5 linked regions of the Mus musculus genome follow. The protein of the gene in region 3 interacts with the protein of the main gene of each other region in a pairwise test. Links are inferred from orthologs where the notes say so. Each region holds a gene or a part of one and is shown on either strand. Other genes may lie near its edges.

Region 1 (5,869 bases), on a different chromosome or scaffold from region 3:
AGGGCCTCATGCAAGCTAGGCAAACTCTTTACCAACTGAGCCACAAGCACTGTTCCAACTGAACTGCTGTTCATCCTTAGCTTTCCGCTGTTTACACAGGACGAACACCCCAGTTGCCTGGTCACTGGGTATTCGACCCATTAAGGCCTCCAGTGGCTCCCACACCTGGGAGACTTGGTTTGTGGAGCCGAAAAGATACAGTTGAAGTTTCCCAAAACTACTTTTCCCCTGAGGCGGCGCCGGTCCGGTCCCTAGGGAAACACAGGAAGCCCAAGTGACCCTGCGATGGATGCGCGGTTTTAGGGGTGGCATCTCGGGACCTCGAATCCCCCACCCCTAAGTCCTCAAGAAGAACGAACCTGGAGCTACAGCAATCCGGGTCGAAGTTAGACCACGGCGACACAAAGCTCACGCGCGTTCACAGTGCCGCAGGTTCCACTCTGTAGCCTGGGCACCGCGGCCAGTCAATCAGGACTCTAGGAAGCCGCCATCTTCCTGGCCGGAAGTTTGTGCGGCGCTGCCGAGACACCTTCTGGGAAATGTAGTTCAGTGGCCCTCGGGACATGGAAGCTGATAGGCTGAGGCGTTCTGGGGGTGTGGCTTGGAGTGGCTGGAATGGGGCTGAAGATGGGTAATACTGGGAGTGGGTGTGATCTGTGGTGGATAGAAGCAAAATTGGGCGTAATTTGTAGTTCCGGTTTAATCACGCTATGGTTCTCAAGGCTTCTGCTGAAATAGGACAGAAGCCTGAGCTGGGCGGGGCCGTTTGATGATTGACGGGGTAGGACTTGGCTTGGACTTGCCAAAGGCCTTCTCAGTTACTTATGTAACTTAGGTTGGCATTCATTCACTAGTACCTTGATGAGGACTGGTGGTGCACACCTGTCATCCCAACACTCCAGAGACCCGGAGACGAAGATCGGGCGTTTAGACCAGGCTGGGCTAAATGAGACGCTGTATAAAAACTAAAATGTAAAGAAAAAGTAAAGAAGGCAGCAGACACACTGTGGACAAGCTTATTGTTGCCAGTGCCTCCAACCGCCTGATGCAGCAGTTCAGACTCATTGAAGAGAAACGTTGTGGGCTACTGAGCAGGTGCAGGCTCTTGCCACCAATCCTGAGGGGCCTGAGTTCGATCTCGGAGACAAGTAGGACCACCACAGACAAAGATGAGTAAAGCAAAGTAATGAAAAATAAAAGCTGTGCAAATGCTGAAGCCAACTCCTACAGTTTTGGTTTTTTTTTGGTTTTAGAAACACACACACACACACACACACACACACACACACACACACACACACACAAAGACCTTCACATTAGAGCGAGTCCTGGTGAACAGGGGACACAAAAAATCCAAAATGAAAATGGAAGGTTTGGCCTCGGGTAAGGGGATACTGATATCTTTAGAGCGGGACAAAGGTCCTGGTCCTCCATCCTCCTCCCGTTCTGGAGGAAGCCGGCATCCTGGAGAAGGAAACGAAACAATAACTGTCCATGTGATCAGGGTAGGGGGGCTTCCTGTTTCCCAGCCCCTCCCGGGCCACTTTTGGCTATCGCAGCCTCAGTAGCCAGTGGCCAGAATGGCTTGAGATATGCCCTGGATCTCAGGCCTTTCCCAAGGTGCTCTGGAGAAGCAGAGAAGAGCGCAGCAGGGTCAACCCCCAGGGTGAGGGAGTTTGATGCTAAGAGCCGTAGGAAGAAAGAGGATTTTAGGGTCCCTACCCAATGCTTCTATGGGGGGTGGGGCACAGATAAGAGAAACGCCTTCAGACAGCTGAGGGGAGAAGAATGCCCAGTAGAGATGGGGGATGGGGGAGTAAGGAACAAGTAGATAGTTAGTGGGCACTATTGGAGAGGTATATGAATATTTAAATGTGTCAATCGGAGTAGACACCCCAAAAATCCTACAGGAAACAAAAAAACAAAAAACAAGGATTCTAAGGTGACGAAGGCAAGAACTGAAAGCAGACTGTAGTGACAGAGGCAATGAGTGCCCGGGCCACACGGCCCCGAAGCCGTCGAGGGAGGCATCCTCTGCCTGTAAGTGTGCCCCTCTTCCTGCCACACTCAGTCCCATGGATCCTGGGAACCCAGGCCTGCTAGGCTCAGAGCCCGTGGTGGTGTAGGGGAGTCCTCCACAGGTGGAGCTGGATATGATGGCCAAGAGACTGTGTGTGTGTGTTGGGGGGAAACGGGGTTCATTCACAGGGGGAGCTAGACCCTGTAGCTGAGAGCTCAGAGGAAGTAGATGCCAACAATGGACGCTTCGAGACTAAACCTGAGCTGCATCAGGAATACCTTGGTCCTGGCCTTCAGAGCCCAAGGAACTGGTAGGATGCATTTAGTATGTACCCTATATTCTAGCCCAACACCCCAACACCCCCCCTGCACAAAGCTGCCTCCTGCCACTCACCTGCCCATTGCCTCTGCTGCCTGCCTCTCTCCTCTTCCTGTTTATCCTCCAGCCATGCCGCTCATTCCCTACTCTACCTTCCTAGCGACCCTAGGGTTAGCCCTCCAGGTCTCTTCTGAGCCTCAGGTGGCTGGGGTTCCCCCACTATCTTCACAGGATCAAGGAGGGTTGTGATGTGGGATCCCATGCGGTTCTATCCTTGAGCCCAGAAGAACAGTGCGAGCCTGAGGTGGAAGCCCACCAGGTCCTGCAAGAAGCCCCCCTGGATAGTGGCCCTGCTGAGATATCAGTACCCAGTGTGTATGAGACCTTGCAGTGCAGGCTGAGCTCCCTTGAGGCAGTTGTAGCTGCCTTGCGCCACCACTCGCTAAGCTTTCCAAAGTCAGTGGAAGCAGAAGACAGAGACCAGGGGGCTCCGGGGCCCTTTGGTGATGAGAAAGAAGACGCAGGACCTGGACAGCAGGAGGCTGCTCGCCTCATAGAGAGGAACGCCTGGCTGCGGCTAGCCCTGTGCAACCGGGAGGATGAGCTGGCATGCACTCAGGCTTCACTGCAGGACGCCCAGGCAGAGAAGGAGACTCTGCAGAGACAGGTAAGCTGGTGACTGGGGAAGAGGCAGATCCAGCCTTGGGAGCAGACACACTGATGTGGAACAGTGACAGATGTGCCAAGGAAGTGACCAACAGAGACAGCACAGTGAGAGGGAGAGCAAGGAAGACAGGCAGGCTGCACCCCATGATCTTAACACTCAGGAAGTCCAAGAGGGACAGTCTCCACTCAGGTGAGCCCTGGCTAAGACCAACTTTGTTCTCAGCTGTAGACTGAGTCCAAGGCTAGCCTGGATTACAGACCCTACCTATGTCAGTTGCACTACACACACACACAAACACACACACTAATCCTGTCTTGGGGGGTGTTTTTTATTTTTCGTTTTTTCGGATACAGAATTTCTCTGTGTAACAGAGCCCTGGCTGTCCTGAACTTACTAGGGTAGACTAGGGTGGCCTCAAAATCACAGAGATCCACCTGCCTCTGCTTTCCCAGTGCTGGGATTAAAGGTGTGAGCTATGCCAGACTTATTTTAGGGTTTCTATTGCTGTAATAAAACACCTCAACCAAAAGCAACTGGGGAGGAAGAGATTTATTTCATCTTAAGACTCTCAGGCCACACTCCATCACTGAGGGAAGCTCGGGCAGGAACCTCAAGGCATGGAGGGATGCTGCTTACTGGCTTGCTCCCTATGGCTTGCTCAGCCTGCTTTCTTATAGAACCAGGACCAACAGCCCAGGGATGGCACCACCCACAATGGGCTGGCCCCTCCCTCCCCATCAATTGTCAATCAGAAAAGTGTCCACAGGTCCATTTCGGGGAGCATTTTCTCAATTGTGGTCCCTCTTCCAAAATGATTCCAGTTGATGTCAAGTTCACACGAACCACCACAGATCCTGAGATCACTGTGGCTGGAACAGAGTGGGAGAGATGAAGGCGCGTGGGGGAAGGCCACAGTATGCAGGGTGTTGAAAGCTAGTGTGCTCTGGTGTGTGGTGGATTCTGAGGGGAACTGACCTGCTGCAGGCGTTCACTTGTGCCATCTGATGACTGTGAGCGGAACAGTCTGGCGGTGGACCATAATCCTGAAGGTGGAGGAGGGGTGAAGTGGCCCGGGGCGTTTAGTGGAGGTGACCAGAAACCTACAGATTATGGGTGATGTTAAACCCAGATATGGTGGGACAAGCCTGTAATGATAAGGACTTCAGAGGCTCAGATGAGAGGATCACAGTTTAACACTAGCTTTGACGAGATAGGCAAATGTCTCAAAACAAAACTAGGACAAGTAGGGATACAGAATCCTCCAGTCAGGGCTGTGGGCGTGACTGGGGGGGGTAGAGTGACAGCCTAGAATCCTCCAATGAGGGGCTAGGGGCGTGGCTTAGCACAGCTTTCAGAGACTTCTCACAACAACAAAAATGAATTCTCCTGAATGTAGTGGGCACACTTGAAATCTCAACTACTTGGGAGGCTGAAGTGGGGGGTGGCTTCAGTTGGGGAGGTATAAATGACTAAAAATTTAGAAAGGAATAAAGTGGAGAGGGCTGGAGAGTTGTCTCAGCAGTTAAGAGCACTGGCTGCTCTTCCAGAAGACCCAGGTTTGATTCAAAGAATCCAAGTGGCATCTCACAACTGACTCTAGTTCTAAGGGACCTGACACCCTCACACAGACACACATGCAGGGAAAATGCCAATGTATATAAATAAAAAAATTAATCTTAAAAATATAAAAAACGTGGTGATCGTCCTGTGTCCCCCATCACCTTGCCAGTAGCTACACTCCCCTAGTTAGGCCTCTGTGGCAGCTGGGGACCGTTCCAGGCCACATTGACGGGGCTGCTGTTGCTGTAGAGAATTGGTTGAATATGTGAAGCCATGGCCTGATCCCCTATCACTGGCAGGTACAGGAGCTGGAGGATTCCCTGATGCAGATGGAGGCCTCCCCACCTACCCCCATCCTCAGAGCAGGGCGTAGAAACAGCAACTCCAGTACTTCTGGGGCAGAAAGGAGACCCTGGGTACCTCAGGTAAGCCTAAAGTCTTCTGAGTCCAAGTCATGATGTTCCCAGCATTCCCAGTGTGAGTGGTAACCGTCAGTTTGTGCTTTATGGGATGCCATAATATTGTGTGACAAAAAGTTTTCCTGGGGAAACACTACACACATCAACTGACCACAGATGGGGAGCCTGTGGCACATCAAAATATGGACACCACCAATGTCCAATTTGGTGAACCAATGAGTTTTATTGGGGTTACAAATAGGACTAAGGCTATATATTATGGGTATGAATATGGGTACATATAGGATTGTAGTTACATATAGGTTGATGGGCAGAATGATTCAAAGACAGCTGCATCACCAAAGCCTGAGTGACAGCGTGACAGCATGAGTGACAGTGTGAATGATAGCGTGAGTGATAACTCACAAAAGCTGGGGACATAGAGCTCACTACAAAGCCTGCAGGTTGGAGATTGTTCCTTCTTAGTGACTCTGGTCTCACCCTTCTTCAGACAGCTGGTCTGGTCTCAAGGTCTTCTTTGCACACTTGTTTGTTCTCTCATCTCAGAGGGACTTTCCTTACTCTGGCAGGGAGGGGCCTAGTCCATCTGTTTAGTTTCTCAGACTTTCTGAAACTAGAGTTGTTTACCTTCCTGCTTCAGGAGCAAATCTGCAGGATGGAATGTCTCTATCTGGGAGGAAACTGTCCATACAACCTGTAGTATCTGAAAGAACTAAACAGGACTTGGAAACATGGCTCGATGGTTAGGGGTGCTAGCTGTTCTCATAGAGTACTCAGGTTCAGTTCTCTGTACCCACATGGCAGCTCACAATCATCTGCAACTCTTCATTCCAGGAGATCTGATGCCTTCTTCAGGGCTCCACAGGCACCAGGCATGCACATACA
Region 2 (5,868 bases), on a different chromosome or scaffold from region 3:
ATCAACACTCAACACATACTTGTTGGGTTAATCTCTCTCAAACCCCCTGTGCTGAGCCACATATGGTGGTGCACACCTACAATTCAAGCACTCAGGAGGCTGAGGCAGGAGCATCTCTCCAAGCTGTAGACAGTCTGGTCTTTATAGTGAGATCCTGTCCCCCAAAAGAAAACAAACAAAATTCTATGCCACATTGCCCCAAGACCACAGCAAAGATTCACTGGAAATCTCGTGACCAGATCCGAAGGCTACATTCATGGGAAACATACATTCTGAAGCTGCTTCTGTCTCAATAATCCAGAGAAAACACCACCAAACCAGATGGGCTGGCACACGCTTTTAGTTCCAGCCAGAGGCAGGCAGGATCTTTGAATTCAAAGTTGGCCTGAGTTCCAGGACAGCCACACCTATACAGAGAAACCCTGTCTTGGAAAACAACAACAACCCTAAATAAAACAAACCACCACCTAATTTCTTCTTCTGATTCTACCACACTCCCTGTCCCTAACGTCCATTCTTATTAATATAACCATCTCCTAATTTGTTCTTCACCTTTCTAAATTCAAGATCATTGTTGTCGTCTGCTTTCTTCCTCCTCTCCACTAAGTGCCAGCAGCTATTTTGTTTAAATTAGAGGCTACTATGAATGGACTCCGAGCTCTTCAACCCCAAAAGATAACTTCCCTAAGAAAAACTGAAAACCAACCCAATAAGAACCAGTCTTCCATTGAAAAAGACAATGTGGCTACATCAAAACAACTGCTTAGGGCTCTCGGAGAGGTAGCTCAGCCTGTAACACAGGGTATCCCTTCCAGAGGACCAGAGTTCAATTCCCAGCACCCACATGGCAGCTAACTTCCAGGGCATCTGATACCCTCTTCTGACCTCAGTAGGCACTTCACACACGTGGGTACACAAAAACACATGGAGGCAAGACATCCATTCACATAAAACACGATTTTTAAAAGTTACGGGGTGGGGGGGGGGAGTGAACCCCTGAAGGACTTTATTTCATTTTACCCATCCATGATTCCCAAACCAGACGGGATTCTCAGGTTTGAAATCTCAAGAGCTAGACTCCAACCTTCCTGAGGGAGTGACTAGGTGTGAAGTGTAAGCATACACCCCTAGGGCCTGGCCCAGCAACTGGCATGAGGGAAGTCTAGTAAACACTCAATGAATGAACAAACACGGGCTGTAAGTCAGGTTGCAAAAACAAACAAAATGATCACAGGTATATCAGCATTACAGCTGGGTGCGAGTAGGTACAAAAAGTGTAACAGCTTCGAAGACAAGGACTCTCTGGCGATAAGAGACTAGAGCAACTTCATACCTAGGACCTGATTTCCCACAACTCCCTGCTCCAAAAGTTTTCAAAACCTTGGCTGCAAATGATCATTCCAGTCAACGACAAAACGATACACCTCACATGCTGCCAACAAATGGAACAGAAAAATACCTGAATATCGGTGAGAAAGAAAGGAAGCACAAAGGGTAGGAAAGAAAAGTAAAGACGGAGATGGAAAGAAATGGGAAACCAGAGACTTAAGGGACTAGAGGAAAAAGCAGCGAAGCCCACAGAGCCGTGTGGGTGACAGCAGAGACTAACCTTGATCATATTCAGTCAGACCCTGGACGGTCGGCTGTGCATGCATGCACTGACCCATTTAATCCTCCACTATCCCAAGATAAAAACTTATCATTTTACGGATGACGAAACTGAAGCTAGGAAGTTGACACTTGCTCCAGTAAACGGGTAGGAAGGGGAAGCGCAATGACCTGACCCCGAGTCTGACCCAGGGTCACCCCATTCACTGTCCATTCCGCCTCGGGGGCCACACCGGGAGGCATTCGGTATCCATTTAACCAACCCTTACTCAACTCCTACTGGGCGGCCAAGCCAGCGGCAATGTAAGGGATCCAGCTGAGGATCGGGGGGACAGAACAGAACGCAATGTCAATCTCCAGGCTGAGGAGCCTGGAGCCGGCCGCGAGAGGGATGCAGGGTGGGGCAGGAGGGGAGGAGCGAGGGGAGCCGGGACGCCAGGGCGGCCCGGGGCGGTGTGCGAACGCTGCGACGCCCGGTGCTCTGCACAGACTCCGGCTGACAGATGCGCCGCGTGCGGCGGCTGCCAGGGGGACGGCGACGCGGCTGTGGAGACGCTGAGGGGCTGAGACAGGGGAAGGCGGCTCTGCCAGGGGGAGGAAAGGCGAGGGGCGGCGTCGGGGACGTCGGAGGCGTCCGGCACCCGCCCGCGCGCTCCCGAACTCACCTCCCGCGGCAGCCCCTCAGGACACCTCAGCCCCGCCAACCCGGAGGAGGCGGGATGGACTCCGGGCCGCAGGGGCTGCTGGGAGCCTGTTGCCTAGGCAACGGGTTAGGCCTCAGAGAGTAGCAGTGACTCCGCGGAGGGCTAGAGCGGCAGAGCCACAAGTGTGGGCGGGCCCAAGGACGGAAGTGACGTCACTTCCTCAGTTCGCAGGCGGGTTTTTGGGTCTTCTCAGGAATCTACCTGTGGGCCGCCGCATGGAAGGTGCGTGACAGTGCTGTGTTTCCCTAGTTGTGGGGGCTGCAGGTCGTGGACGTGGTCATGAGGGGTGGGAGGGTGGGTGGGGGAGGTCATGAGTCCGCGCGCGACGTGACATGCAGGGCGCGCCTGGACCTCGTGGGCTGCCGGGAGCCTTGTTCATTACGGTGTGAGTGTCGTCTGAGTGCGGTGATGTGCGTGAAGTGTCAGTGGTGTGACGCTCAGAGCATCCCTGAGCACATTGGAGCCAAGCCTGACGTGCCAGCCCCTCGGAGAACCCTTCCCTAAACTCCGGCATTCAGTAAGACGGGCCGTGGAGCTTGCAGTGTGTAATAAAGGCTGTCTCTGTCGGTTCGTGTCGCATGGGTCAGTGCGTTAGCGTATGGCTTGCTGAGTCCCGTTTTGCTTTGGTAGCTTACAAGAGGTAAGCAGCTAAACTGCTGTGCCTCTCTCTCTACCAGCTGCCCTGCGACTCACATTACTGACATCTCCCCATTTGTCTCTGAGTGTCTAGAAGTCAGAGCTGTGCTTTTGGTTCCTAAGTGGGTCCGGCAAACTTAGTCAGCCGTGATCCTCACCCTTAGGGACCCCTACCGAAGAAGGACGAATGTAATGCAGGAGGTGAGAGCAGTTCCTCCATGGAGCCCGTTTGATTCTCAATCAGCTGTGTGTGCAAGTTATGGGAGGGAACAAGACATAACTCCTACTGTGGTTGAACTCAGTCCTGCGGAGAAAATAGAATTAAGAAATAGAAGAAATTGACTCACTAGGGGATGTGATGACAGCCAACGAATAGGAGATAATATGTCTACTGCAGTGACTCGTAATGCAACCAGGGGTGGAAGTGGGGGCGGCGGCGGCGGGGGTTGGGGGGGGAGAGTCCAGGAAGACTTCTTGATGGAAATAACTGTTCAACTTGCTTCCTGTTGCCATGGTAAAATACCGTCACCAAAAAGCATCTTGGGAAGGAAAGGGTTTATTTGTCTTACCCTTCCAGGTCCCAATCCATCTATGAAGGAACTCGGTAGGAACCCAAGCAGAACCAGAGGCAGGAGCCATGAAGAATAGCTGCTTACTGGCTTGCTTTTTCCTAGGATTTTCTTCTCCGTGTATAATACCTACATTTATGTAAACGTACCATGTGTCAGCTGTATCCACAGGGGCCAGAAGAGGACATGGTATCTTCTGGAATAGGAATCTCAGCTGATTGTAAGCCTCTTTTGGGTGCTAGGTCCGCAGAGCCATCTCCAGCCCCTCAGATCGTTTCTTACACAGCCCAGGACCAATTGCCCAAGGGCTGCGGCACCACAGAGAGTTAGGCCCTTGTACATCATTCACCATGCAGACATCCTCACGAACAGTTGTTACACTGTGGTTCTCTCTTCCCAGGTTGACCAAGTTAACCACAAAAGTAACCAGGACAATGACTTCCCTTTTTGCATTTAACTATTGCAAATATATTTATTGCAACTTACAGATAAGTTAGCAATTATATACAAGTAGAATTTTAGCTATAAATTCTGGTTGCGTTTAAATTTGGAAGTCAGAAGAAGAGAGTCTCAAAATAGTATAGTCTCCTAAAGAAGGTTTTGTTAAATTACAGAAAAATAAAACTGGAAGCTGAAGATTTTTTGGCTCGGTTCTAGAGCATTGGAATTTAGATCTCCACATGACACTGGGCAGCTCTCAAACACCTGTAACTCCAGCTCCAGGCCACCAGTCACCCTTCTGGCCTCAGCAGCCACTCCCACACATTCACACACATAAAAACAGATCTTTAAAAATGAAATCTGCCCCGGAAGCTCTTAGGGAGTAGCACTAATGGGTGTGAGTTTGTTGGAGGACATGTCACAGTGGGTGGGCTTTAAGGTTTCAGATAGTCAAGCCAGACCCAATGTCTCTTTCTGCTGCCTGCTGAACTAATTGTAGAACTCTCAGCTAACTTCTCCAGCACCAGGTCTGCCTGCCATGCTTCCCACCATTAGGATAATCGATTATACCTGTGAACTGTAAGCCAGCCCCAATTAAATGTTGTCCTTTATAAGGGTTGCTATGGTCCTTGGCATCTCTTTACAGCAATAAAACCCTAACAACAAAAAAAATAGGGGGGCAGAGGCAGGTGGATTTCTGAGTTCGAGGCCAGCCTGGTCTACAGAGTGAGTTCCAGAACAGCCAGGGCTACATAGAGAAACCCTATTTCGAAGAACTAACTAACTAAATAAATAATCTGATCATTTAGATGTGAAGATACAATTAAAAGTTATATTTCATGTCTTAAAGGTGGACATTGTACCTGTGTGTGCAAGCCTTTCATGTGTTGCTGCGTTGACACTTTTACCATATGGAATTTAACATATGGAATCCTCCACTAAAAACCCAAAGAATTTTCTTTCCTTAAAGGCTGGCTGCCTGGCTTTCTTTCTTTCAAGTGAGGGGATGTTTAACAATTAAGATTGAAATGAAAAGTGAAAAGAATTCTGTTATTATCCTCTAGTGTCCAATGTCCTCATCACTGCCTCCTCCTTCCTATAGGAGGGTAGAACATATTTACATCATGTATTTATTTTAATTAGCTTACAAAGTAGGTTTCTTTATGGCGTTTTGCTCGGGGCCCTCTTCTGACCCCACCCCCCTTCTCTGTGCCATCTGCACTCAGACGCTCTCATCCCCAGGGACCCCTTCCACTCTCTATCACAGGTGACCAAGTGTTTACCCATTTGGTAGTGAGGGTGGACCATGAGACGAGACCCCGAGCTGCTCCAGGTCACTGCCTGCTCTTTGCTGTGCTTGAAGTGGCCTGTGTGGCCTATGGCTCTAGCCATGTGAGCCCTGGTTTGCTGTGTCTCTGAGCCTCTTCATGCTGGGTTTGTCCTGTTTCTTGTAGTCACCAAGTTCATGGTCACTCACATAAGACCCATGCTGACCCTCTTTCCCTGGCTTATTTATACCTCAGCTCAGAGGTTCATGCTGACACAAAACCCCATTTTGTTTTTTATTTATGTTAATCCTACTACGGAGCCCACATTAGCCTCTTTTTTTTTTTTTTAAAGGCAGTTCTAACTGAAACCCAGAACTCAGTGGTTGGCTGACCTAGAGCAATCTTCTTGCCTTAGTCTGGGATTAAAGCCTTTGCCAAGACTCCTGGCTTTCTGTTCCCTTTTTTACATAGTACTATGGTCTGGACTGGTTAAGACAATTTACTTGTATATTATTTGACTCTTTTGGAGTAAGTGCCGTGGGAAAAGGTCCTGGCTCTCATTCATTCACTTCCTCCCCCATGCCTGACCTGTTGAAAGTAGCCAACCAGGATTTGTTAGTTGTTTGAATAAAGAATGAATGA
Region 3 (5,734 bases):
ACAGATATTACACACAAAAGCCTCCCAGACAGACGCAATGACCAGAATGCTTTCTTCTGTTCTGTGTAGACGTCTGAAGGATGTCTAAAAACACTACCAGTGTCCGCCAACAACTGGATCAGAGGTCCGTCCCTGAATCCACTGCCTGCCCGTGAATCCTCTTCCCCTAACTGAGCTGCCTTGTCTGGCCTCAGTGGGAGAGGACTGGCCTAGTCCTGCAGTGGCTTGATATGACAGGATGAGGTGGTACCCACAGAAGACCTCCCCTTTCTCAGAGTTCAAGGAGGAGGGGCTGTGTGAGGGAGGAGTACCTGGGCTTGGGATAGAAAGTGAATAATAAATTAATGGAAAAAAAATGTTTCTGGCACAAAATTCAGAGGACTCAGAGGCTCAAGATATAGGCCAACATGGCTCTCGTCTTCAATTCCAGCACTTAGGATTCAGAGGCAGGGGGATTTCTATGAATGCCAGGCCAGCCTGGTCTTCTACATAACAATTTTAGGCCAGACAGAGCAACAGTGAGACCCGGCCTCAACAAAACAACAAAAATTGAGGCTCAAGAGAAACTTTGCTCATTGCTTAACGGTTTGGCAGGGTTGTTTTGTTTTGTTTCATTTTGTTTTGGGGGGTGGGGGGTGGTCCTCCCTATGTAGCTACTGGCCCAGAGCTTGCCACGTCAAAACAGGCTGTCCTGGAATCACAAGAGATCCGCCTGCCTGTCTCTGCCTCTACGTTCTAGGATGAAAGGCCCAGCTCAGTTGCTTGATTTTCCTAATGTTGCCCTGGCATGGGACCAGCGCTGGTCCTTGCCACAGAGCTTCTATTCTATGCAGCCAGGATGATGAGGGTCGGGTGGCATGGGGTGGGGTGCATCGTGTCTATCTTCATGTGTCTAGTGCTGTACTCTGCCTACCATCCTGGGCTTCGGGGCTCTCTGCAGCTCCTCACAGCACTGTCCAGTCATGTGTATTCTTGCCCAGCAAGCTCATCTTCCCTAATAGAGAAAATAAAAGAAACTGCTTAAAAGATGGAAGCTGGAGCGATGGCCGGCTTAGGAGCCAAGAGCCCAAACTGGTTTTGCAGAGGACCTGAGTTGGGTTTCCAGCACTGTGTTGGGTAGATCACAAGCCCCCCAGCACCCCAGGTCCAGGGGGATCCAAGCCTCTAGCACCCATGGGCATCTGCACCCACATGCACACACACATTCATAGAATTAAAAACAAAATCTGGACACAGCATAATGCTGAAATACCAGGACTTGGGAAGAGGTTAAAAAAAAATCCCGAATCTCAAGGCTATCCTCAGCTACATAGCAAATTCAGGGCCAACCTGGGCTACGCAAGTCTCAAAAATAAATAAATACACATAAATAAAAGGTAGAATTCAGCATTTCCCAGTGCTTGGCTCCAAGGCTCTTAAGAATCCTTCACTTAAGAGATCAAAACCCAGCAGGGTAGCAGTGGTTCATGCCTTTAATCATAGCACGCAGGAGGTAGAGGCAGGCAGATCTCAGAGCGTGAAGCCAGCCTGGTTTACAGCGCAAGTTCCAGGACAGCCAGGAATTGGTCAAACCTATTTCTATAATCCCAGAATTCCTGAATTGAATGCCATTCAGTGAGTAAAGGTGCTATTGCCAGCAGGCCTGCCTATCTGAGTTGGATAGCCCAGGACACGCATTATGGAGGTAGAGAATTGACTCCTGCAAGTCTTCCTTTTACCTCCATGTGCGTGTGTGCTCCACTACGCCAGATGAGTAAGTAAAGTTCAAAAAGAATTCCTGAGGTGGGTATGATCATACACACTTAGCGGCAACCCTAGAACTTGGCAGGAAAATCACAAGTTCTAGGCCAACCTGAGGTATGTAATAGAAAAAGCAGTCTGGAGGTGGTAGCACTTAGGAGGCAGAGGCAAGTGGATTTCTGGGTTTGAGGCCAGCCTGGTCTACAGAGTGACTGCTAGGACAGCCAGAGCTACACCGAAAAACCCTGACAAACAAATCAAAAGAGACAGAGATGAGTATTTGAGCTGGACTGGATCCCCAGTACCCATAGGGGCTTACAAACTGTCACTCCCATCGGGGACAGATGAATGGATCGATGTGTTTTTTGATTGCCCAGACATGCATGTGGTGCACAGACAGACACACAGACAAAACACCCATACGCATAAAATTAAAATTTTAAAAAGAAGAAAAAGTTAGGCAGTGCTTCATACCTGCAATCCCAGCACTTGGGAGGCTGAAGCAGGATTGCTGAGTTAGGGGCCAGCTTGAATGATATATATAGTGAATTCTTGGGCTAGGGTAAGCTCCTGCCGCAAGAAACAGATTGGGGGAGGGGTGGGAGGGAGAGAGAATACATGAGGATTCCTTATTCACTTATCGGCCTTTCCTTGGCTTGGAGAGTATTTTAAAAGTAGACCATATCCTTTACCCTGGAAGTGGTGACAAGTGGAGCCATTTGGAAAGAGAAACCACATCCGGACTCAAATCCCTTGCCAGGAAACTCTCTATAGGCTGCATCTAGCACAAAGCCTGACAGTGAGTTCACATATGATAAACATTTCATACAGGGAACAGAATTTCTCAGCATTTCCTACCTCCTCTTTGTCTCTTACACTTCACCCAAACCCACCTTCACGTGCCTAGGAAGAAAGGCAGCTGGGGCGCTCATCTGTCTTCTCGGTGTGCCTAGTCTCTTATTAAAATGCAAAGTGTATCTGGGGTTGTGGACACAGGGGAATGCTTGTGTTTCTCCTGTGCAATGGCAACTTTAGCGATCTACAAGTCCAAACGCGTTTTCGCTCATATCACATCAAAGAATTTCTGCTATCTCCTATGCATTCCGTCGCAGCTTCCCAGACAGGGCCGGGGGTACATTTTCTAGGGGCAGCTTGTAATGGCCAAAGTGTTCCAGAATATTGTCACGTCTTCACATATTCAACCAACTCCATGAAGGCATTTTAAAATCCGCGAGCCCGCCCCTCAGCCACAGCGGGTCCCGGAGTGTAGCGCCAGGCCAGGCATTGTGCCTCTCAATGTTCCATCCCCCGCGCGCCCATCCCGTCTGAATCCAGACACAGCCGAGCTTCTCCCTAGTCCCTAGGGGCCCTGTTAAGAGCTGTCCTTTCAGAAACAAGGCCACGGAAACCAAGCCCAACCAGATCCCAGGGTTCCGACTCCACTCAGTGCGCTCCGTTCGGCCAGGCCTACCACCTCTCCGCCGGCGACAGTCCCACCTCGCAGCCTCTGGCCTCAAATAGACGGTGGCGTGGAGGATTCTAGGAACTGTAGTCCGTCGCCCGTTCACTAGCGGGCCGAACCACAGGACTTGACCGGAAGGACTACATCTCCCAGCGTGCCCCGCAGCGGGGGCAAGGCGTCTGTTGGATGCTCCGCGAGTTGCTAGGAGCTGTCTCAACGTCACTCCCGTGAAGCGCGGGGAAAGCATCTCCCGACTAGGTGCAAGGGAGTTCCTCAAGTTCGGAGGGCTAATTGGTGACCATGATCTTCTTCTTGATCAATCATAAGGTCAAAGCTGCTCTGTCAGAAGACCCAAAACTATCAACAAAGGCACACAGTGGACATGCCACGCCCAGAATCATAGCGTTTGAAACCTAGGCTAGACCTAGATTGTCAATTTCCTAGGTCAAAACTGGCTGTTGAGACCAGCTACATAATAGTGTCTCGGAATTAACACAACACACTTTCTTAGGTGCAATCCAAAGAAGGAGTAAATAAATCTCTAGCCAGAGGCAAGGTGGTGCTCTGCCAACACAGATGCTCCAACTCTCTACAAATTTAATTTTAAAAAATTGTTTTATATGTGCTGATGTTTAGATCGAGTCCACCCTCCATTGTACTATTGTACCTGCTCCAAATCTTCCCATAGCTGTTTCCTCCCCAACTTCATGTGTTCTTATAGAAAAGAACTTAGTGCCTTGAACCCAAGACTACCAGCCCAGGGATGGCACCACTCACCATGGGCTAGGCCCTCCCCCATTGATCACTAATTGAGAAAATGCTTTACAGCTGGATCTCATGAAGGCAATTACTCATCTGATGCTTTTTCCTCTCTGATGACTCTAGGGTGTGTCAGGTTATACACAAAATCAGCTAATACACCTGTCTTACAAGGAAAGAGAGGAGAAGGAAGAAGGAAGAGGAGGAAGAAGAGAAGGAAGAGGAGGAGGAAGAGAAGAAGGAAGAAGAGGAGGAGAAGGAAGAGGAGGAGGAGGACAAGGAGGGGGAGGAGGAGGGAGAGGAGGGGGAGGAAGAAGAGGAGGAGGAAGAGGAGGGGGAGAAAGGAGGAGGAGGAGGGGAAGGAAGAGGAGGAGGAGGAGAGGGGAGGAAGAGGAGGAAGAGGAGGAAGGGGGAGGAAGAGGAGGAGGAGGAGGTGGAAGAGGAGGGGAGGGAGAATCTTGTATACAGTTTGTAGGAGGGAAATGGAACAGACTCAGGAGAAAGCAACCATACCACGGATGATGTCGGCCGGAAGCTAATCAAGCAGTGCTGCCTAAAAGGGACACAGGTTCTCTCAGGGACACCACATAAAAGGGACACAGGTTCTCTCAGGGACATAACATAAGAGGGACACAGGTTCTCTCAGGGATATCACATAAAAGGGACACAGGTTCTCTCAGGGACATCACATAAGAGGGACACAGGTTCTCTCAGGGACACCACATAAAAGGGACACAGGTTCTCTCAGGGACATCACATAAAAGGGACACAGGTTCTCTCAGGGACATCACATAAGAGGGACACAGGTTCTCTCAGGGACACCACAGACCAAGCACAGGAGTGTCTTGGGAATGATAACTCACACTCTTTTTTTTTTTTTTTTTTTTTTAAAGATTTATTTATTATTATATGTAAGTACACTGTAGCTGTCTTCAGACACTCCAGAAGAGGGAGTCAGATCTTGTTACGGATGGTTGTGAGCCACCATGTGGTTGCTGGGATTTGAACTCTGGACCTTTGGAAGAGCAGTCGGGTGCTCTTACCCACTGAGCCATCTCACCAGCCCCAACTCACACTCTTTAGGAAGAAAAAGTCAAATTCCCACAAACTGAATCCTCAATCCTTCAAGGCCCTGGCCCCAGCCTCAGACTAGACCTCAAGTCTGCCCCTGGGCAAGGACACAGAACTAGCAATCCTTTTTTCCTTTCATGGGGCCTCTGGGAAGCCTTCCTTACAGGTTAGATGATTAGTTAAGATAGAGCTCGAATGAGACCTCCAAACTGTAACAGGGCCCCAGACTTAATAGGCCCCAAAACTGACTCCATGATGGAAGTACCATTCAGGCTATAACATTCAGTGAGCAGACAGCACCACCTGTCAACACTAAAACCAAGACCTAATCCATCAAAGTCCATAGTTCTGAGAAAGTCTCAATGTACTAACCTTGCCTTTTGGATTCTGTAGTAGTTCCCCTTCTGACTTCTTTTTTTTTTTTAAGATTTATTTATTTATTTATTTATTTATTTAATGTAAGTACACTGTAGCTGTCTGACAGTACAGAAGAGGGCATCAGATCTCATTACGGGTGATTGTGAGCCACCATGTGGTTGCTGGGATTTGAACTTTGGACCTTCGGAAGAACAGTCGGGTGCTCTTACTCACTGAGCCATCTCACCAGCCCCTGACTGTTCTTAACTGAAGTATGTCAACCCAGAACATTGTTTTTGTGTTTAAAAGCTCATTCTGAGAAAGGCTGAGGGCTACACTGGGATC
Region 4 (5,116 bases), on a different chromosome or scaffold from region 3:
TGGGAATGCTGTCCTGTGCTCCTTTCACGGTTTCTCTGAGAAGCAGGAGAAAACCCGCTGATGAAGGCCACAGTGCTGTGTGGATGCAGGTGACAGTGCTGGCCATCAACCTTGCTCTTTTTCCTATGTGTCCCCAGCTGACACAGGGTGACATGCTTCATGTGGAACCATCTCTGCTGCAGTACCCTGACTGGAGAGGACATTTGTTGTAAGTAGATGCCCCAGGCCAGTGTGTCCCAACATGGGACCTGTAGGTCCCCATGGAGGTCGAGTAGAGGTGGGACACATTTCTGTTTGGTGTAACAGAAAGAAGGATCTACTGGTCAGTGGTGTGCTCTTAACCCTGTAGCACACAGGGGAGTGCCTCAACAAGGAATTGTTCTGTCCACCACATCAGTTGAGTCTGAGTGAAGAAGCCGGCCGTAGGCTGAGAACATAATTGTGGAGACCTGGTGACCATGGGCTGGCCTATCAGCCTCAGCTCTGTCCCCAGAACTCCCATCTTGGTTCCTGTGACCCTAAGTCTGTGGCAAGTGAGGAGGCTGCCCTTGCTTTTCCAGGAGCTTTAGAGATGACAAGGGAGCTGACTGGGGCCCCCTCTCAATGGTTTGATGGGTCAGGGAATGGTACCAACTGTGCTGTGTACTGATTTTTTTTTTTAAAGATTTATTTATTTATATGTAAGTACACTGTAGCTGTCTTCAGACACTCCAGAAGAGGGCGTCAGATCTCATTACAGATGGTTGTGAGCCACCATGTGGTTGCTGGGATTCGAACTCCGGACCTTCAGAAGAGCAGTCGGGTGCTCTTACCCACTGAGCCATCTCACCAGCTCTGTACTGATTATTTACTAAGAGTCAGGCACTGTTCTAAGGGATTCGTGGTCCAGCAGGACCTGACCCAAGATGTGTCCCAAAGCTCACATTCTTAGAACAAGGTCATCAAGATGGTGAGCTCTGGGGCAGGCCACTGGGCTTGAGTAAGGACTCTGCCACTTACTAGCAAGGGAGTCAATTCCTTCAGATTCCCTCAGTTTCTTTATCTGCAAATGGTGATGATAGTAATCACAGTCACCATGAAACAGTCTCTGAATAACATTTGTGTGGTGTTGAAGCTCAGTAAGAGCCATGGTAACAGCTCCTGTCATAATAATGTTAATTATTATCATTATCAGCTAGATGTATAGAGTGTTTATCTCTTCCCCCACAGTCTCCTGATTAGGTGAGGTTGGGTGACCTAGACCAGAATACTTTGTGGCTGGGTGGGGGAGGGTATGCTGAAGTGGAGATAAATGTCTGCTACTTTGGGAAGGGAGGATGGGGCAGTGGTAGCCAGCCACCTACAGGCTCCCAGAGGGGCTCTGGAGTAGACTGGGCTGAGGATGCTCTGACAGTATTGTATTTTGTTGGTTTGTTCTTCTAGCCTCCGGGAAGAAGTGGCAAAGTTCTTGTCTTTCTATTGTAAGAGCCCGGCACCCCTGAAACCAGAGAATGTGAGTCCTACCTTTCCTAGGGGTGAGCAGTGTCAGGAAGGGCACTTGGGGTCTGCCTGCCTCTAAGTTTTACTTCCCAACCCCGTTATGCTGTGATCCTTTTGACTTCCCCACCTTTGAGAGAGATCCTGGGAGTGATCAGTTCCATCGATCATTCCCTTAATCAAGAGCAAGGTGCCCAGAAATCAGCTTGGCTGGGAACCAATTGAGGCCTTTGTCAGGGTAGATCCCCAGAGCACTTTCCATGGCCCTTGTTCTTCTCTGTCTCCTGACAGAGGCATTCTTGTCTCCTGTCACACGTAGGTGGTTGTTCTGAATGGCTGTGCCTCTCTCTTTTCCGCTCTGGCCACAGTGCTGTGTGAGGCAGGGGGTAAGCGGACGCCATGCCTTACTCCCTCAGTTTTTGCCAGGGCTGTGCTAGGCTGTGACCACGGTTGTCTGGCTGGGGTACTGAGGGTGGAAGCCAGGGTTTCACGTATGCAAGGCAAGCCCTCTACCTACCGAGCCACACCCCTGGTCTTAGGAATTTTGAACTATGACAGATTCTCTGGCAAGTGCTGTGTGATGGGGTATTTTCATGCAATGCTGGGCAGTGGCAGTGAGCTCCCCCACTCTACCTGCAAGCAGCCGTGAGATTTTGAGTCAACACCAATACTCTGCCCTGTTATGGGCTGCTAGGATATTCAGGAGATTAGGAGGGCCACATACATTTTTATATAATTTCACCTTATAGTGGGTTAGTCTGGATGTGACCCCATTATAAGTGAAGGAGCATCTATACTAGAAAAAGCCTGATCTTGGGGAACCAAGCTTTAAGATTTGGGGAACTGAGAGCAAGAATATGCCCCAAATGTTTCCCAGAGATGATAGAGGCTAGGAAGGGTGGTGGTGGTGTACATGACAGGGTCTGTAGCATCCAAGCCAGAGGCCAATAGGTTGTCTGCCCCTGCTCCTAGAGGCTCTCTTGATCCCCACACCTTACTACGGAGCCATCACTCAGCACATCTATCTCTATGGCAACGTCCGACTGGCTTATGTCTACCTAGACAGCAAGGTAAGAGTGCCGGCATTTGAGTTTTCCTGTAGGCAAGGGTTTCCTGGTTCTGAATCTGTGGGTGGGTGTGAAGGGAGCCTGTGTTAGGGATTTTGGGGTTGCTCTGAAACAGTAGTGGTGCCTTCTGTTGTTGCATGGACACCTCTGCCTGGGTTCTCTGGAAGTTCCAAGCTACAGGTTCTAAGATCCTGGATTCATGGAGAAGCCAAGGATCAGACCCATAAATGAGAGGGTGGAAAGGGGATGTTTAAACCTTGGAAGTCCTGAGAGCCAATCAGAGAAGCCTCGCTGCCTCTGCCAGAAACCTAAGAGATAAGGGTGGGGTGGAAGGCAGGAAAGGGAAGCAGTCCTTCCTGTTTTTCAGAGATTGTGCCCAAGAGGCTGGGGATGACAGGGAAAGAGAGTCCCAAGAGTTCAAGTTTGGGGTTGGGGCCATGTCACTGAATTTGGCTCCTGACTTTGGTGGGTCTTTCCCCAGGTAACTGGATTGAATACACGCCCCTTCCAGCTCACCGTAGAGAAGCTGGAGATGGTCCTGCAAGGAGTCAGTTCTGAGGTTGGAGATTCAGTCAAATCCAGCACTGGGAGTGGGTGGGTTTCAGCAGGTGCTAGACCCTTCATCTCCTGGGAATTGGGCTTGTAACATTGATAGGGACATATGGGGGGTGGATTATGGAACCATCCTGGGACTGGGGGTCAGGCAGAATCCTGTATCTATGGAGGGCCTTCGCATTAGAAAAAGACCTTGAAACCACAGTATACAGAGAACCAGGGAATTTCATCAGAAATTTCCCCCTCACAATAAAGGGTAGCAGGAGGTGGTGGGATAGGATCATAATTAATTTTACATGTGCAGGAAAATGTCAGGAGTGAAGCCCGTTATTGTTTTTCATGAATGAATGTGCCTTAGTTACTGTTCTATTGCTGTGAAGAGACACCATGGCCAGGGTAACTCATAAAATAAAGCATTTGATTGGGGTATGCTTACAGTTTTACAGGGTTAGTCGATTATCATCATGGCAGGAAGCAGACAGGCATGGTTACTGGAGAAGTAGCTGAGAGCTTTTCATTCTGGTCTGCAGAGAGACACTAGGCTTTGGAAGCCTCAAAACCCACCCAACAAGGCCACACCTCCCCCATCCTTCCCAAACAGTTCCACTTAAGACCAAGCATTCAAACATATGAACCTATGGGAGGTGGGGGTGGGATTCTAATTGAAACCACCACAGCATGCTAATTAAAAAGAATACTCTGCCTACTCTAGTCCTTTGTTTCTGCTTCAGGGTCAAATATGGATCATAAGAGTTTATAGTTTAGTGAGTCTCTCTGGCAAATTGAGGGGTGATCCTGTTCTTTTTGAGGGGCTCCTTAAGAAAGGCAGAGACCTAAGTTCCCACGTTTGCTTTCTGCCCATGTCCAGCATCCGTGCACTTCACTGCATTTACTGTTGCCATTCATGCTGTCAAGTGCTCAGTGCAGGCGCCGTGAAAGTTCTCAGTTCCTCCAACACGAGCAGCCTCTCTGCTGGCAGCTGGCATGCTTCCCTGCTCCCTGCTTGCTCTCTTTCCATAGCTGGGATGGCCCAGCAGATGTCAGTCTGGGACCTACTCATTTGCTTCTTGTTGGGTCAGGAGCCTGTCTCTGCCATGCGTTCCTGGGCAGCTATCAGCCTCATCCAGTGAGACTGTAAGGCTCTGGAGTGGTGGTGGGGGACACTGAAACACCCCCTGGATGGTTTCAGGGTGTCAAGGTCAAAGGCCTTATCCTCATCAACCCCCAAAACCCTCTGGGTGACGTCTACTCCCCGGAAGAGCTGCAGGACTTTCTGAGATTTGCCATGAGGTGAGTTCTGCCTACCCCACAAAGTGGGCAGACAGAGTCCTGATGTGGCCTGGGGCAAGTCCTTAGACCCCTGTGGGCTGCTACCTGCTGTGGTGTCTCCCTGTCTTCTTAAAAACATTACCAGCTGTAATGCTCTAGAGCCAGGCGCCATGCTGAACACTTTATTATTTATGCACTTAGGTATTTATTTACTTATTTATGTGTTTAACTGTGTTCACGTGTGTATAAATGTGGAAGGTAGCAGAGACATGCCTCAGATGCTCTGTTTTTTGAGAAAGGATTTCACTGGTCTAGAGCTTGTCAAGTAGGAGAGGCTATCTGGCCGGTGAACCCCAGGGCTCTCGGTGTCAGACTTGGGCCCTTCATGTTTGCAAGACAGCTCTTTACTGACCAGACCATCTTCCCAGCTGAGCCTTTCTGTGTTGTGTCTGTGGTCCGACTCACAGCAGCCCCAAGAAAAAGGAACACTTATCATTCCTGCTTGACAGAGCCTCAGAGTGGTCCAATCAGGAGCGGGAGCAGACATGAGTCTGAGTCTCTTTGTCTCCAGCCCACCATGGAGGACCCCAAGGGTGCCTCCTTTTCCCTGCAGTGATTCGAAAGCTCCAGGGTCCTCTGCTTTATGTGTGCAGCCTCCCATTTGTGAAAATATAGACCAAAGTGTGCAAGCAGTTTGGTAGCCCCGAGCTACACTGTGGCCCCCTCCCCTGGGTTTCTGGTGTACTGCT
Region 5 (5,846 bases), on a different chromosome or scaffold from region 3:
AGCTGGTTTCTGCTTCTTTGGGGGCTGCTTGGGGTGTGTGTGTGTGTCTGGTTTTAGGGAATACCTGAAGCTATTCTAAGTTGTTGACTTTGTGTCTTAAGGTGCTTCTCCCAATGGTGATTCTCATAAGCACTGGTAATTCTAGTTCCTGGGGGACTCAATACCTTCTGGTCTGGGCAGGTACAGGACATACACATGGTGCACACAGATGCAGCAAGCAGAACTCAGACCCATGCAATAAAAGTAAATCTTAAAAGCATCAAGACGCTCATCGAGGGGACATATAAAATATGGCTTGTCTTTCAAGGATCCTTCAAGTTGTCTGGTTGGTCCCTGCTGCTCTCCAGGCAGCCTGGCTTGACTGAGAGTCTTTTCTGTAGCTGGGCTTGTCTGAGTGTGACTCAGTGGTCTTTATTATTTATTCTTTGGAGGGAAGAGCCTAGTGACTCTGGTCAGCTTCATATAAAGCTTCTCATATCGTTTTATATGAGGAAGTAATGGTTAACAGTTAGCTAAAGGCTATGATGGAGGTAGAGATCTGGGTAACCAGGCTCTCAACAGTACAGAAGTACAGAATTCAGCTCCAGATGTGTTACAGAACCTTGTGTTCAGAGGTTAGAAAACACAATGTAGTCAGCCAGAAGAGGTTACAAAAAAAAAAAAAAAAAAAAAAAAAAACCAGAAGGATCCTGAAGTTCCTAAAGAGAAATGTTCATAGGATGGACATGAGACCAGACGGGTTTACAACCAGCCAATGTTATTCTGCTCTTATGGCATTACAGAAAACCTGAATGAGTCTTCATTCATCACTCATTAACACAAAATGTTGTTACTGTTGCTCATTTTAAAACAAACAAACAAAAACAAAAAATCAAAAGAAAGGACTTTCTTTTAGAAGTTGAGAAGTAGGAATTCTCATTACATAAAATCTGTGTAAGAACATGAGTAGAGTTTTTGTTGTTACCCAAGAAAAGTCAGAGATCTTGCCTTCCCTTGAGCATTTCCAGTGATTCATAAACTCAGGAGTATTCCAGAAATTTCTAACTTGCTTTACCAGTGAATTCACTGCCTGATAGCACTCCTGCCCTGTAGAAGCCCATATCCAGATAACAGGATCTCACCTGTTGCTGCACATGGCCTGTATACTGTTCAATGAACTCAGTGAATCGAATGTAGTCTGTGCCAAGCCGGCAGAGTCGATTCAGGACACTAGTCTCACTGGGGTGAAGAAATGGAAAATCCTGGGAAACCTGAAAGAAGAGGGATAGTCATAAAGGAAGCTAATGCCTGCTAGTCACCAGTCATAAAGGAAGCTAATGCCTGCTAGTCACCAATCAAGGTTCTTTGCAGCTTAAAATGCTTTCTATTCTCTTTTCTATTTCCTTTCCGTAAGGTGCCCATGGTTTTACATGGTTTTAATTTTCCTTGTTACTGGGTTGGTAATTCTGGTTAACAAGGTATTGTTACACAATTACAAGGTCGTGTTCCTCATCCAGATGTAATTGCTTGTTCTTAAAATAGGTACCCTAGAGAAAGAATTCACACAATAGGAGCTGGAAAGATGTTCTGGGACTCACATAGTAGGAAATTCTTGCAAGTTGTCCTCTGACCTACACAGAGGGGATCAGGGGAGAGGAGAGGAGAGAGGACAGACAGAAACAGACAGGGACAGAGACTCCCTTGGCTTATATCTTCAAATTATGTTTTGCTTGAAAGCTTAGGCAAGTTACATCATGGCACCTCTCAATGTCTTAGTTTTCAGAAGTAAAAAGTGGAGATAACTGTGATAACAGATAATATGAATGACAGGTGTTAATCACAGTTACAGATTCAATATATATGTATGTGTGTCTTTTATTACTGATGACACTTCTACAGTTATCAATTTTTTTGTGACTTTTTAAAAATATTTTTATTAGGTATTTTCCTCATTTACATTTCCAATGCTATCCCAAAAGCCCCCCATACCCCCCCAACCCCCCTACCCCCCCACTCCCACTTTTTGGCCCTGGCATTCCCCTGTACTGGGGCATATAAAATTTGCAAGTCCAATGGGCCTCTCTTTCCAGTGATGGCCGATTAGGCCATCTTTTGATACATATGAAGCTAAGAGTCAAGAGCTCCGGGGTACTGGTTAGTTCATAATGTTGTTCTACCTATAGGGTTGCAGATCCCTTTAGCTCCTTGGGTACAGTTATCAAATTTGAACACTTCTTGTTGACAGAGTTTTAGAAAAGTTCTAGGTTTAAGATCAGTGAAATGGCTCAGAGAGTCAGGCATTTGCTACACAAACCTGAAGACCTGAGTTAAATCCCTGAAACCTACACAAATGTGGGAAGAGAGAAGTGACTCCATAAAGTTGACCTCTTCATACACTCTGTGACATATATGCCCACACTCATACAACATAGACACATACTCTAGTTTTAAAAAAAAAAATTCTAGTTTAGGCTTAATTACTGTGAAAAAGTCAACTCCACCTTGAAGTCACTGATACCATTTTACACAACACACTTAGACACATTTGTAGTTGTCATTCTTTTCTTTGCCTTTCTCTGCCCTCTGTTCCCTTCTTTTCTTGCTTTCTTTTTTGAGAGAAGGTTCCACAGTGAAGCCCAGGCTGGACTTGAATCACACCAATAATCCTGCTTCAACTTCCCAAAGGCTGGGATTACAGGCACAAACACTACGCCTGGCTATTAAACTCAGTGTTGCCAATTTAGTTTCGGCAAAATATTGAGTATCACGCTATATCTGGGCTTCTCACGGGGGTTGGGGGAGATAAAGGAACAGAGGGGGAGAGGAAGAGAAAACAACTAACGGGTACATTCCTGTTATACTCTTCTAATTACAGGAAAAACCCCCTCTCAAGTTCTTCACCTGGTACAGAAATTTTCGAAGAAAGGAGGGAAACACCATATGTTTACAAATTCATTTTTTTCATCCAACACAATTTACTGAGTATTGTGTCTTGAGCGCTTTGTATACATTTCCACTACTTTCAAAATTCAATTTGAATCAATGCAAGAGTTCCCTATCCCTCCCCCTTTTCCCTCAAATAACTATCATCTAATTCCAGCTACACATTTAGGGATTCAGTTTAACAACAAATTCATATGCAGTGAAAAGAAGTGTGGTTCTATCCACTCCTAGTGGTTCTCTAGCAGGAGTCGCGGGACCGCAGGGCCCCCATAGCCGGAGCTCCGTAGGGTTGGCCCTCGGTTTCTCCCCGCTCGCGGGCGCCGGTCGGTTGGAGTTCCCCGGGTCCCGCCCCTTCGCTGCGGCTCAGCTGCACCCGCCGCGCGGCAAGCGACTCGTCTCTGACCCCCTGCATACCTGCAGGCCACTCCGCTTGTTCCAGGTGAAAATGGACCCTGGGTACCCACTCAGGGCCAAGAGCAGTTCGTGAATCATTTCTAGGGCGGCTCGGGAGTCCCTAGATCTACCACCTCCTCTTTTCAGCGCCTCTCCGGGCGACCCCTCACACCCAGCGGAATCTCTTGCCCTGAATCCCCGCAGTCCACCGGGAGAGGAGATGCCACAGAGCCGCGCGCCGCATCCCGGAAGTGCGCGCGGCCCAGGCGCCCACCGCCTCGCTCCCGCCGCGGAGCCGCGAGGAGGCGCCGGTGCCGTCGCGCATGCGTCCTGGGCTCCAGGAGAAGCCCGCTCGGACTTCCGGCTTGAGAGCGGGACTGAGGCTAGCCCAGGAGGGGAAGGGATGAGAGTGAGTTGAGAAGCTGGTTGAGAGAGACGCGGCCTGGGGTGGGCCGGCGGGAGTCCTCAGGACGCCTTGGCAGGGTCTGTGGCATTTTGACCGACTGCCGACGTCTCCCAGAGTGACCCGGCCGGAGGGAAGAAAACAAAGCTGGAACTTGGCAGCCGCCGCTGTGGAGCTGTGCTCGAAGCCCACGGACTCGCAGCACCGGCCCGCATCGGCCTCGTTCTCAGGAGACCCACCACTGCCGCCCCTCGAGCTTCCTCGCTTCACCAACTCCTGTAACTCTCCCCTAGTCCACCTCAATTTAGAAGCCCAAGTCGGCTCCCCCGGTGCGCGACCTTCCCCATCTGTCGCCCCGGAACTCTTGCCGAGTTCTTACTTCGTTCGGGAGGCGCGAGCAAGAGACCCAGTGTTCGGCACTTGACTTTGGTTCGGGGTGGAAATTTGTAGTTTGGTGTTCAAGGGGCGGGGCAGACACCAGGAGCTTCTGGAAGGACGGCGGTGGTTCTAGGGGAGAATAGCCGGCGCTCGCTGGACAGAGGCTTTTTGTTGTCGTTCGCCAAACGTTTTGACCGATTTGATCTGGGGCGCTAATGATTTACCTGAGGTGGGAGCGAAGCGGACAGATTTTTCTTTTCTCTGCAACTTCCTGGGGATACTCTAAACGTCACCTAGAAATGCAGTTTTTAAAAGGTCATTTTCACCTTGCCTATTGATTTGCTGTCCTGAAAAGGTACTGCCTCAGAAGGCCACTTCGAGCATATTGAAAGTCAGGCCGGCTCTGACAAGGTTTTAAACATGTAAAGATACTCTCCTCAGATAGCGCCATTTCTCTCTACTCTAGGATAAAACTCCTTTTTACAGAGAGACTCATCTGCAGGTGTTTCTCCAAGGGCATGCAAAGATAGTGTAATAAGTCCTAGAACCCAGACAGTGAGGAGAGAAACGGCTTTCTGCTGTGAAAGATGGCCAAACCCACTCGGAGAGGAAATGGCACAAGCTCTGAAAGCTTACGACAGCGCTTCAGAAGATTCCATTACCAGGAGGTGGCTGGGCCCCGGGAGGCTTTCAGCCAACTATGGGAACTTTGCTGTCGGTGGCTAAGGCCGGAGGTGCGGACCAAGGAGCAGATTGTAGAATTGTTGGTGCTAGAGCAATTCCTGACTGTGCTACCTGTGGAGATCCAGAACTGGGTACAGAAGCAATGTCCAGAAAATGGAGAGGAGGCGGTGACACTGGTGGAAGATTTAGAAAGAGAGTCTGGAAGACCTGGACATTCGGTGAGGAGGAGGGGGAATACAGTCAGAAGTGTGTGGCTGGGGAGAGACAAGGATGGAGGGGCAGTTTAAGATCAGTCGGATGTAAAGAGGTTTGGTGATTTTGATACTTCTGATCTGGAAGGGTTACTTTTTCAGGTAGGGCTTGCTTGGAGATGCCTACTCTGTTACAGTAAGTCTTTCACTTCAGTTTCTTAAGAGAAAAAATGGGGGAAGTTTCTTTTCCAGCTGCTATTTGGGTTTCTGTTTGATCTTTCTGCAGTTTCAACCACTCTAAGCTGATGATAACGGAATAAACACTTGTCTGTCCTACTCCCCACCCTCCACTCTGGCCTGGCCTCAGAGGATGGTCTCCCCCTGGGAATGCCCCTTGTTATGACCATGTCAATTAACGGGGGGTTATTTCTAGGTCACAGTCTCTGTGAAGGGGCAGGAAATGCACTCGGAGAAGATGACACCCCTGAAATCATCACAGGAGTTATTAAGTGTTCTGCAGGAGTCAGTGGAACCCCAGCCCAAGGGTGTATCCAAGAAAGAGAGGGCAAGAAGGCCAGCCCTGAGACTACAGGAGCAGATGAACCCAAAGGAGAATCTCAGACCTTTTCAAAGGAGCGGTGAGGAGTAGATGTGTGTGGGAGACAGAGCCCTCTAAGCTGGGAATAGGGTTGGGAGTAGTGAGTGGGGAAGGTTTCAGGGATAGTGGCACCTGTGTGGCACCTCCCAATGTGATGTTTCAGGACCCTGGAAAGGCAGCTAGCTCAACCCTCTGGTAGAGTAAGTATTTTTGTATCTCTTCCTTTGATAAGTCTGCCTAGTTCTCACTATAATCGGAATACTTTTATTTCTGGTGA

Evidence for each region.
Region 1: the proteins of Fbf1 (region 3) and Ushbp1 interact in binary tests that used the Homo sapiens proteins (3 or more experiments, as listed by UniProt). The two-hybrid records come from large-scale screens. The link is inferred for Mus musculus from reciprocal best matches to the Homo sapiens genes FBF1 and USHBP1.
Region 2: the proteins of Fbf1 (region 3) and Cinp interact in binary tests that used the Homo sapiens proteins (3 or more experiments, as listed by UniProt). The two-hybrid records come from large-scale screens. The link is inferred for Mus musculus from reciprocal best matches to the Homo sapiens genes FBF1 and CINP.
Region 4: the proteins of Fbf1 (region 3) and Accs interact in a two-hybrid assay, tested with the Homo sapiens proteins (2 studies listed by BioGRID and IntAct). The two-hybrid records come from large-scale screens. The link is inferred for Mus musculus from reciprocal best matches to the Homo sapiens genes FBF1 and ACCS.
Region 5: the proteins of Fbf1 (region 3) and Tubgcp4 interact in a two-hybrid assay, tested with the Homo sapiens proteins (2 studies listed by BioGRID and IntAct). The two-hybrid records come from large-scale screens. The link is inferred for Mus musculus from reciprocal best matches to the Homo sapiens genes FBF1 and TUBGCP4.

What each region holds. Positions count from the first base shown.
Region 1 is NC_000074.6:71,391,511-71,397,379, reverse strand, and holds the start of Ushbp1 (Usher syndrome type-1C protein-binding protein 1), read left to right. Parts: upstream 1-1,578; 5' UTR 1,579-1,666; intron 1,667-1,910; 5' UTR 1,911-1,986; coding exon 1,987-2,040; intron 2,041-2,208; coding exon 2,209-2,330; intron 2,331-2,569; coding exon 2,570-3,005; intron 3,006-4,864; coding exon 4,865-4,990; intron 4,991-5,869.
Region 2 is NC_000078.6:110,885,732-110,891,599, reverse strand, and holds the start of Cinp (cyclin-dependent kinase 2-interacting protein), read left to right. Parts: upstream 1-2,454; 5' UTR 2,455-2,527; coding exon 2,528-2,534; intron 2,535-5,868. UniProt on the Homo sapiens protein: Component of the DNA replication complex, which interacts with two kinases, CDK2 and CDC7, thereby providing a functional and physical link between CDK2 and CDC7 during firing of the origins of replication.
Region 3 is NC_000077.6:116,164,919-116,170,652, forward strand, and holds the start of Fbf1 (fas-binding factor 1), read right to left. Parts: upstream 3,261-5,734; 5' UTR 2,673-3,260; coding exon of another isoform or gene 2,634-2,672; exon of another isoform or gene 2,433-2,633; intron 2,311-2,432; 5' UTR 2,215-2,310; intron 995-2,214; 5' UTR 965-994; coding exon 914-964; exon of another isoform or gene 1-913. UniProt on the Homo sapiens protein: Keratin-binding protein required for epithelial cell polarization. Involved in apical junction complex (AJC) assembly via its interaction with PARD3. Required for ciliogenesis.
Region 4 is NC_000068.7:93,839,295-93,844,410, reverse strand, and holds part of Accs (1-aminocyclopropane-1-carboxylate synthase-like protein 1), read left to right. Parts: coding exon of another isoform or gene 1-137; coding exon 138-208; intron 209-1,422; coding exon 1,423-1,492; intron 1,493-1,795; coding exon 1,796-1,862; intron 1,863-2,448; coding exon 2,449-2,546; intron 2,547-3,024; coding exon 3,025-3,102; intron 3,103-4,287; coding exon 4,288-4,388; intron 4,389-5,116. UniProt on the Homo sapiens protein: Does not catalyze the synthesis of 1-aminocyclopropane-1-carboxylate but is capable of catalyzing the deamination of L-vinylglycine.
Region 5 is NC_000068.7:121,168,962-121,174,807, reverse strand, and holds the start of Tubgcp4 (gamma-tubulin complex component 4), read right to left. Parts: upstream 3,641-5,846; 5' UTR 3,415-3,640; coding exon 3,337-3,414; intron 1,251-3,336; coding exon 1,122-1,250; intron 1-1,121. Other genes in the region: Zscan29 (zinc finger and SCAN domain-containing protein 29), read left to right, coding at 4,684-4,998, 5,405-5,609. UniProt on the Homo sapiens protein: Component of the gamma-tubulin ring complex (gTuRC) which mediates microtubule nucleation.